Cricetulus griseus: one gene and its partner. The protein of the gene in region 1 binds, or shares a complex with, the protein of each later gene. Links are inferred from orthologs where the notes say so. Each region holds a gene or a part of one and is shown in the gene's direction. Other genes may lie near its edges.

Evidence for each region. The genes of interacting proteins can lie anywhere in the genome.
Region 2: the proteins of Scn7a (region 1) and Scn3b are in contact, whole or in part, in a cryo-EM structure (PDB 7TJ9), measured with the Homo sapiens proteins. The link is inferred for Cricetulus griseus from reciprocal best matches to the Homo sapiens genes SCN7A and SCN3B. Residues at the interface, in NP_002967.2 of Homo sapiens: Arg269, Glu293, Tyr296, Leu298, Glu299, Leu305, Gln315, Cys316, Pro317, Glu318, Gly319, Tyr320, Asn922, Ile923, Thr926, Cys927, Lys929, Ile930, Phe939, Ile956, Tyr957, Asp959, Gln960, Ile966, Tyr970, Met973, Ile974, Tyr977, Ile978, Leu981; in NP_001035241.1 of Homo sapiens: Val25, Cys26, Val27, Glu28, Val29, Arg44, Ile46, Lys50, Arg51, Glu52, Glu53, Val54, Asn95, Gly96, Ser97, Asp99, Gln101, Asp102, Phe126, Phe128, Ala130, His131, Pro133, Val135, Thr154, Ser155, Ser158, Glu159, Met162, Leu165.

Annotation. Positions count from the first base shown.
Region 1 is NC_048599.1:108,334,178-108,337,866, forward strand, and holds the start of Scn7a (sodium channel protein type 7 subunit alpha), read left to right. Parts: upstream 1-859; 5' UTR 860-1,110; intron 1,111-3,689. UniProt on the Homo sapiens protein: Sodium leak channel functioning as an osmosensor regulating sodium ion levels in various tissues and organs. While most sodium channels are voltage-gated, SCN7A is not and lets sodium flow through membrane along its concentration gradient.
Region 2 is NC_048597.1:151,887,324-151,891,073, forward strand, and holds the start of Scn3b (sodium channel subunit beta-3), read left to right. Parts: upstream 1-1,611; coding exon 1,612-1,666; intron 1,667-3,750. UniProt on the Homo sapiens protein: Regulatory subunit of multiple voltage-gated sodium (Nav) channels directly mediating the depolarization of excitable membranes.

The DNA of each region.
Region 1 (3,689 bases):
TAAGGTCAAATGGATGTTCAGCATTGCAAAACTTACTTTTATTATCCGGTATGACAATGGTCCTGGGTTAAATTATTTAAAATGGTTTTATTCATAAAGGTATGTTGATGAAGTTTTGAATAAAATGCTCTGATAAATCTGGACAAAAGAGGGTTAAACAATGAATGGCCTATGTTGGTTATGTCAAAATCTTCCCATCTCCATCTTGGTTAAAATGTATAGTACATCTTCCCTACAGCCCTCAAACCAAGATGTAGGGCATGCCAGTTTTTAAAAACACAGACAAAAGTTCCCACTGGACCTCAAACTCCACTCGCCAGGGTGGGACACAAACCCACAATGCATTTACAGTCTTCTAGTCAAGTCTTTCTTAAGCAGCCGCACACCTGCCCAGAACTGTGGCCACAGCAATGCTGGGGGCTGCCAGTGTGCCATAGGCTGACATTTACCCCATATATTCTATTAGGCAATCAGAGCAGGGTAGGGAAATCTTCCTGAAAATCAGGACCCTGAGTTTGCTGTCCCCATCCTCTCTTACTCTCCTCTCCTTTTCCACACACTCCAGTGGCACACAAACACAAGTCAGCCACACACTGCTTTTGCTTTTCTCCCAGCTGTGGACTCTTCACTCCTTCCCAGCTTCTTTTCTATTTCTTTCTCTTTATTAAATCCCAGTCCCACTTGTCTGACTGGCTCGTTCCCAGGCAGCAGGAGGATGAAAAACCACTGCTGAAGCTGTTATTGCCTCTGCAGCTGGGTGTCTGTCAATATCACCCGCCCACGCTTATCTGGCTTCAGGAGTCACAGGCTAGCCTGGAGATGAGAGTGGGGGAGTGGCCACGAGAAGGGAGGGAGGAAGGCAAAGGAAACAAAAACAGCTACCAGGCTTGCTGGGCATCTGTCTGTAGGTGGTCTCTGGGTCTGTGACTGTGGAACCTCCCAGGTGGCTGAGTGTCTAGCTGGCAGCAGCTGGGAACAGCAAGCACAGCAAGCAACCTCCTGAGAAGAGAGCTGAGAAGAGAGATAAGCCCAGGAGAGCAAAGGGCTCCTAGAAGCCTTGCTTCTGGGGCTCTTGGTGGGGTTTCAGTGAAGAATATCATTTGGCAGCAAGTAAGTGCATATTTTTCCTTGTAGTGACAATCCCATGATGGGGATAGCTCATGGCTGTGCCCAGCGTTTGCTTCCCACTCCACCTGCCCCACCCTCTGATCAATCTTTGGGAAATGTTTGAGAACCAGAAAGAACATTAAGATCTAGACCTGAACTAATGGCTGCAAGGTGGATGTTTGCTCCGCATGTGTGGTTAGTTATCTTACCCAACCAGGTAAGGAGAAGCCAAGAGATGCTATGTTCTGTAAAATTTCTAGAACCCCCTAAATGCTGATGGTTATAATGGATGGAGCAGGAGGTTGTGTGAGTTGGACTATACTGTTAAGGAATTCAGTCTCTGATTTTGTCTAATTTTATACACTCAAGAGTAGAACTTTTGATATGACAACATCAGTATTAAAGCAGCAGAAGAATGGTATTGGAAATGATGTCTTTATTTTGAACAGCTTGGAGTTTGGCAGCATTTGGTCCAACATATTTTATTTTTGTTTGTTGTATTGTTTAGTCTCCCAAACATATTCTTTCTAGTGTCTGTTTTACTTTTAAAATTGATGATGCTATTCTGGTCCTGTTACCTCTGAGACTTAGGGCATTGTCAGACAGGAACTGACACTGAATCCATGGAGAATACTCAGTTTATGGACCCTGTCGATGTGTCATGTAGATATTGGCTGAAAAAATCTGAAATAGAAGTGTGGCAGTATTTTGGTGGGCATTTGGGGAGAACTTAGAGCACAGTAGAAGGGACCTGCTGTGGCATGATGCGAGTCCTGGCTCCTTGCCTGTCATGGCTAGCCCTAAGGAGCTATAATCAGCTGTTACTTTTGCAACTAACACACCCAAGGCCCAGGAGGAGTACTTACTGGTCCTCTTCCTTTTCCTTCGGCTTCTTCCACTCACTTTATGGTTGACATCTTACTTTCATAGTACAAATAATAATTACCTGAGTTATTGGGCCACCACATAATTGAGCTAAGATCACAATAATAAAAATGGGGATTTAGAATTATAAAACTTTATTTTCATTTTGCATAACAAAATGGATTATTAATATTTAGTCTGATTGCAATTTGTTCTCCTGATTTGTAAATGATACAAATTCCTGCTAAGGACTAAAAAGACAATATGGATTCTTTTAGGAAAGGAGTTGTTTGTGAAACTGTTGATTACAAAAGGAATTTATCTGTGTTTTTCTCTACTTCCCCAGGGTGGTTCTCATTTGAAGTTTAGTACTATGGGCAAAAGGAGTCTTTAGACTGACCTTTCTAGAATGATGAGAGTGAGTGAAAGTCAAATATGTTTCTCATCAAGGGTACACTTGAAGGTGCATTATAACCAGTGTGAGTCGAACCTTTTATAAAATGTGTGCCATTAATAATGTAACACCCTTGAAAATTCTGTAAATATGTCCTACACTTTTTATTTCTTTAGTTTAAAACTTTGTTTTGCTGTGTAGCTTTGCTTTCTGAGTTAAAACCATCAAGAAAAGCACATAGATGGTTGGAAATTTATTTGCTGTAGTTATTAACACTGGTATAATCAAGTTTAGGAACAAAAACCCTCAGCTACAGAAATCCATTAAGTCTTGCTGAACACCAAGGAATACCATGAGCCTTCCTATGGATGTGTTCAAAATAATAGAATTAACTGAAATTGGTCATATGGCTCTGTAAAAGAGGCTAGCTATCTTTGGATAGCATGGTAAGGACCTGTCCATTATTGCCACTTACCAGTCTCTCCTGGAGAACTGGAATAAGAAACACTTGACAACCAGATACTATCTCTCCTGATTCTCATGTGATAAAGATATGGGCAAGATAATAGATATATGTTGTGACTGAATTTGCCAAAATGAGGCCAAGTCCTGTGTCATCAGACTACAAATGTAGTCAGTGCTTTGCTCAACCTTTCCTTGGATAAGAATAATGCTGATGTTCCCAAGTCTATACCTCGATGGAATAAGCTCTGCATGGCAGAGCAGTACTCAGCTCAGACATTCACCCACAAGACTCTGGCCACTATTTAAAATTCTGTCCTCAAAGTCTATGGTAGAAACATTAATCCAAAAGAGACTTTCTTTTAAAAAACATGTTTTAATTTTTGAAATTATAATACAATTACATCATTTTACCCTTTTTCTTACCCCAGTTTTCACAGAATAACCTTTCCCCAACCACCACTCTGTTGCTCTCTCACAAATTCACAGGTTCTATTTCTTTAATTATTGTTATATATCTGGGAGTCTGACCCTTTATTTCCACGAGCCAATATCAACTCTGATCAATTTGAGACTATCTACAGCCCCTACCCACCTCCACTGGCTTCCACAAAAATGCCATCTTTACTCACATGAGATATCATTACCTTATTCTCTCCCGTATATCCTCAGTGATACCATTTCAGCTAAGAAGAGTCTAACCTCCCAAGCACTGAAAGATGGAGACTTTGGCTTTGAAGAGAATGTTTTCATATGAGGGTTGATGTCGATATTTCTCAGTTTTGCTATATCTCTTGAGCCCATTAAAATTCTGATCTCTATATTTATGTGGTCATTGCTTCCTTCCTTATTAACGAGGATA
Region 2 (3,750 bases), on another chromosome or scaffold:
CCAGGGCTGGGGCCAGGCTTTCCCTTTGATTCCAGGCATGCCTAATCCGTTAAATCAACTCGAGTTTATAACTGAGTGTAAAGGTTCAGGTTTCTCTTCCAGAAATAGGGCGGGGGATGCTCAGCAGCTGCTAGGACTAGGGAGTGGCTGAGAGTTGGAAAACGTCTCAACACCATCTACCGGCCTTTTACAATTGGTTACCGGGGCGGGGGGGGGGCTGAAAAAAAAAAGACACAAACTAGGGAAGCGAAAAATCGGCCCTTATCCTCACCCCAAAGCTTCCCTCAAGCCGTCATTTGCTTCCAGGCTGAGCGATGAGGTGAGAACAGGTGTGCCACACCCTACTCCACTTGCCATAAGCAGAAATTGTCTTGCTGTGCCGCTTGGGTTGGGAAACCATTAGTCAAGGCAAGACAAAGGCTAGGCAGACAGGACTGGGTGGGAGATGGGGTGGAGGGCGAAGAGAAGCCTGCCAGGAGCCACCGTAGCACAGTGAACATTATAGATGACATCATTGCTTCAAAGAGATGTGTTCCTCCCTTTCCCAGAGCTGTAGGCAAGCGTATTTGGGAGGCCGCAGCAGTAGGGTTGCCCGGAAAGGGTGAATTGGTGGGTAACTGTGTGTCCATAACCCAGAAAGAAGCCCAGACAGTAGGAGACCGGCTGACACCCAGTTAGCCAGACAAGAAGCCACCTCCGCGGGAGGTGTTTGCGCTGAGCCGGGCTCCGCCCCCTCGTCTCAGCGCCAGCCCTGGGAGGGGCACGCCGGTTTAGGGGAGGGAAATGTGTGTTCAAGGGGGAGGGTCCGTAGCGACCGTGGCGGTGGAGAGCCGCTTGCGCATGTCAAGGCTAGCAACACATTCGGCAAAGGGGCGACTCTGAAGAGGGGCGGCTCGATCACCCAATCACCCAGCGTCAGGGCTCCACAGGATCCAGGGGCGCGCTCCACGGAAGGGGTTCCTTCCCTCTACCACCCTCCACCTCTGAGATCACCAACCCTACGGGAGCTCTCGCTTCTTTTCCAGCCCCTCGAGGACCTCCCGGGAATCCGGGCCCCTGTGTACAAGACTGAGGTGAAACAAATTTTGTAGCCCAGACGACGGCTGGAGTCGGGACACACCCAGCCGGAGAAGCCTGCCGGAGCTCCTGAGTCTCGGAGGATCTAAGTCGGAGTGTCGCTGTCCCTAGGGGAGGCGAGAGGTGAATCAACATGACTCCTTCGACAGTCCAGCATCCCCGCGCCGGCTGCGCGCTTCCCTTCTCAGGCTACTTTGCTTTGGTTGCAAAAGCTAGACGCAGGGGAGAGATTGGAATTCCAAGATCGGGGTGGGCGGGGAGGCTACTGTCCGTGGTGCTGAGCCAAGCCTGGGGACTCGCTCCAGCGAGACATCACGAGGTGGCCTGAGCTGACACCCAACCTCGGCTCCAGATCCCGCAGACCCCCACCCCCACCCCCAGGCAGGGCCTATGACCTTTTCTTCCTCCTCCCACTCAGAAGGTCTCTCCCTTAGGGGTAGTTGATCCCTAAGGGTTTCCTCGAAAGAATCAGAGGGCGAAGTCCTTGACAGAGATTCTCTCTGTTTAGCTTCAGAAACCACTCACGGAAAAAAGATGCCTGCCTTCAACAGATTGCTTCCCCTAGCTTCTCTCATGCTCATCTGCTGGGGTAAGTACAGCACCCTGCCCTGCAATATGCAGATAACAGGCATCATGGTGACAATAATAACACTTATTTATGTCGCTGGTGGCAAAAGGAGCTCTCTTGGCTTCCTTCCGTGCATGTCTGCCAGACATGGGTGTCCACATGTGCTTTGGAGATTGCAAAGGCACCTCCTCCAATGACCTGTAGTTTGATTTTTCCCCCTAACCTTCTTTGGTGCTTCTCCCAGCCTCCTTCCTTTCCTAATTATTCCCATTTCTCCCCCGGCTTTCCCCTTTGCTCAAAAGGAATGTATCACATCCATTAATTTAAAATTCTTGCTTGCATTTACATTGTATCACTCAGTGAAGAGTCAGTTCTGAACATCTCAGTGGGTTGGGGGAGGGCTCATTTCTCTCTACTTAAAAAAAAGCATAAAAACTGGATGCATAAATCTTAAGAGAGAAAATACTGTAGTTCATCCATCTGTTAAATTTTAACAAGGAATGGATGAGATAGTGGCTTTAGCCATTTGCTGGTGTGAATTGGTAGATGGGAAGTGCATTTAGTTTGCAAGAACATTTAGAGCTGAAGTGCTTTGGTGTTTGGTGAGCTGGGTTGCTTTGTTTGTTTGCTGGAGTTTTGTTGTTGTTTTTACTCTTGGTTGTCACCTGTGACAGACTAAGTGGCATTGCCACTCCAGACAAGGGACTTGTGACAATAACATTGGGCTAAACAGCTTAATGTGTGGCTTACAACAAGGTACCTGAATGAGTGCTAAGGGAATTGGGCATCTAGATGCTAATAAAATACTGAAATACACACAGTATTTTACTGTATGTAAATGTATGTATGCACTAGCATGTATCTGAGCATATTAGTATGATTATCTAAATAGACTAGTGAGACTCAGCAGCATGTGTGTGTGCACGTGAGTGTGTGTGTGTGTTCCTGACATTTTTGCTTTCATGTCTCTGACCCAGCCCTCAGATCAAGTATAGGTGCTCTTTGTTTCATAAATCAGTTTATGTTGGTTTAGCTACCTTCCTCCAGACTCAAATACAAAAAAAAATAAAATAAAATAAAATAAAATAAGGGATTGTGTCCACCTCCCTTACAGAAAGTAGGCTTGTGAGATTATGTTCCTGTACTGGGCTTGGTTCCCATTCTGCCTGGGCGGGCAGTGGCAGGCATGCCTTTTTGCCTTAGTATCACTTTGTCAAGCCTTGGATAGGAACTGTAGCTGCATGTATTATTTGGATTTTGCATGTGACCAGAGGAAAAGCCCAGTTTCCTGTTGAGCAAAATGCCTAATGAAACAAGAATGGGAAGGAAAAAGAAGAAAATAATGCCAACCCCAAGGGTGGACTCACCACAACCCATTCCCTGAAGACTACAGCATACTCGGAGGTGATGCTGACATAATGCGCTCAGTGAGCTCACCTGTCTTGAAGATCAAGGCTGCTATTTGCTCCAGAGAAATGTTCGGGCTGTGAGGCTTAGAAGAGGTTAGTCTGGCAGGATAAGAGAAGGCGTGGGTGAGGCTCAAATTGTAGAGAAGTGCTGAAAGAGAGCTGTAGAAATTTTTTTCCAAAATTTAAATTCTTAAGGTTCCTTCCTGAATTTCTGGGGCAAGGGGGGCATGCTGCAGTCTCAGCAGTTTTTGATTAAGACACACAAAGCTCTGGTTTGCATCTTGCCTCTATCAGTTCTACTACTTCGTTTTTATTAGGTAGCATCCTCAGAATGCCTGATAAAGGTGAAGTTTGGAAATTGTCACAGATTATATATAATACCCCTCTCAGCTCACAACTCAACCAGAAGGGAATACTTACAAAATATTGCTAGAATTTGCAGTGGATCCATTATCTCTTCTCCCTCCAAAATCTTCAGAACAATTAACAGCATAGGTCACATCTATCCTTGCTCATTGCAGGATTGTGTAATCCAAACATTAGTTCCACAAAAGGGTTTAAGAATGCTTGGTGGTTTGTGTAGGGGGAAGAGCCTCACTCACAAGTGCAGTTTTACTTTATTTGCATATAATTCTTATATCCTTTAGGTCTTTTGGCCAGCACATCACAGAGGGATGACATGAGAGTTATTTCCAC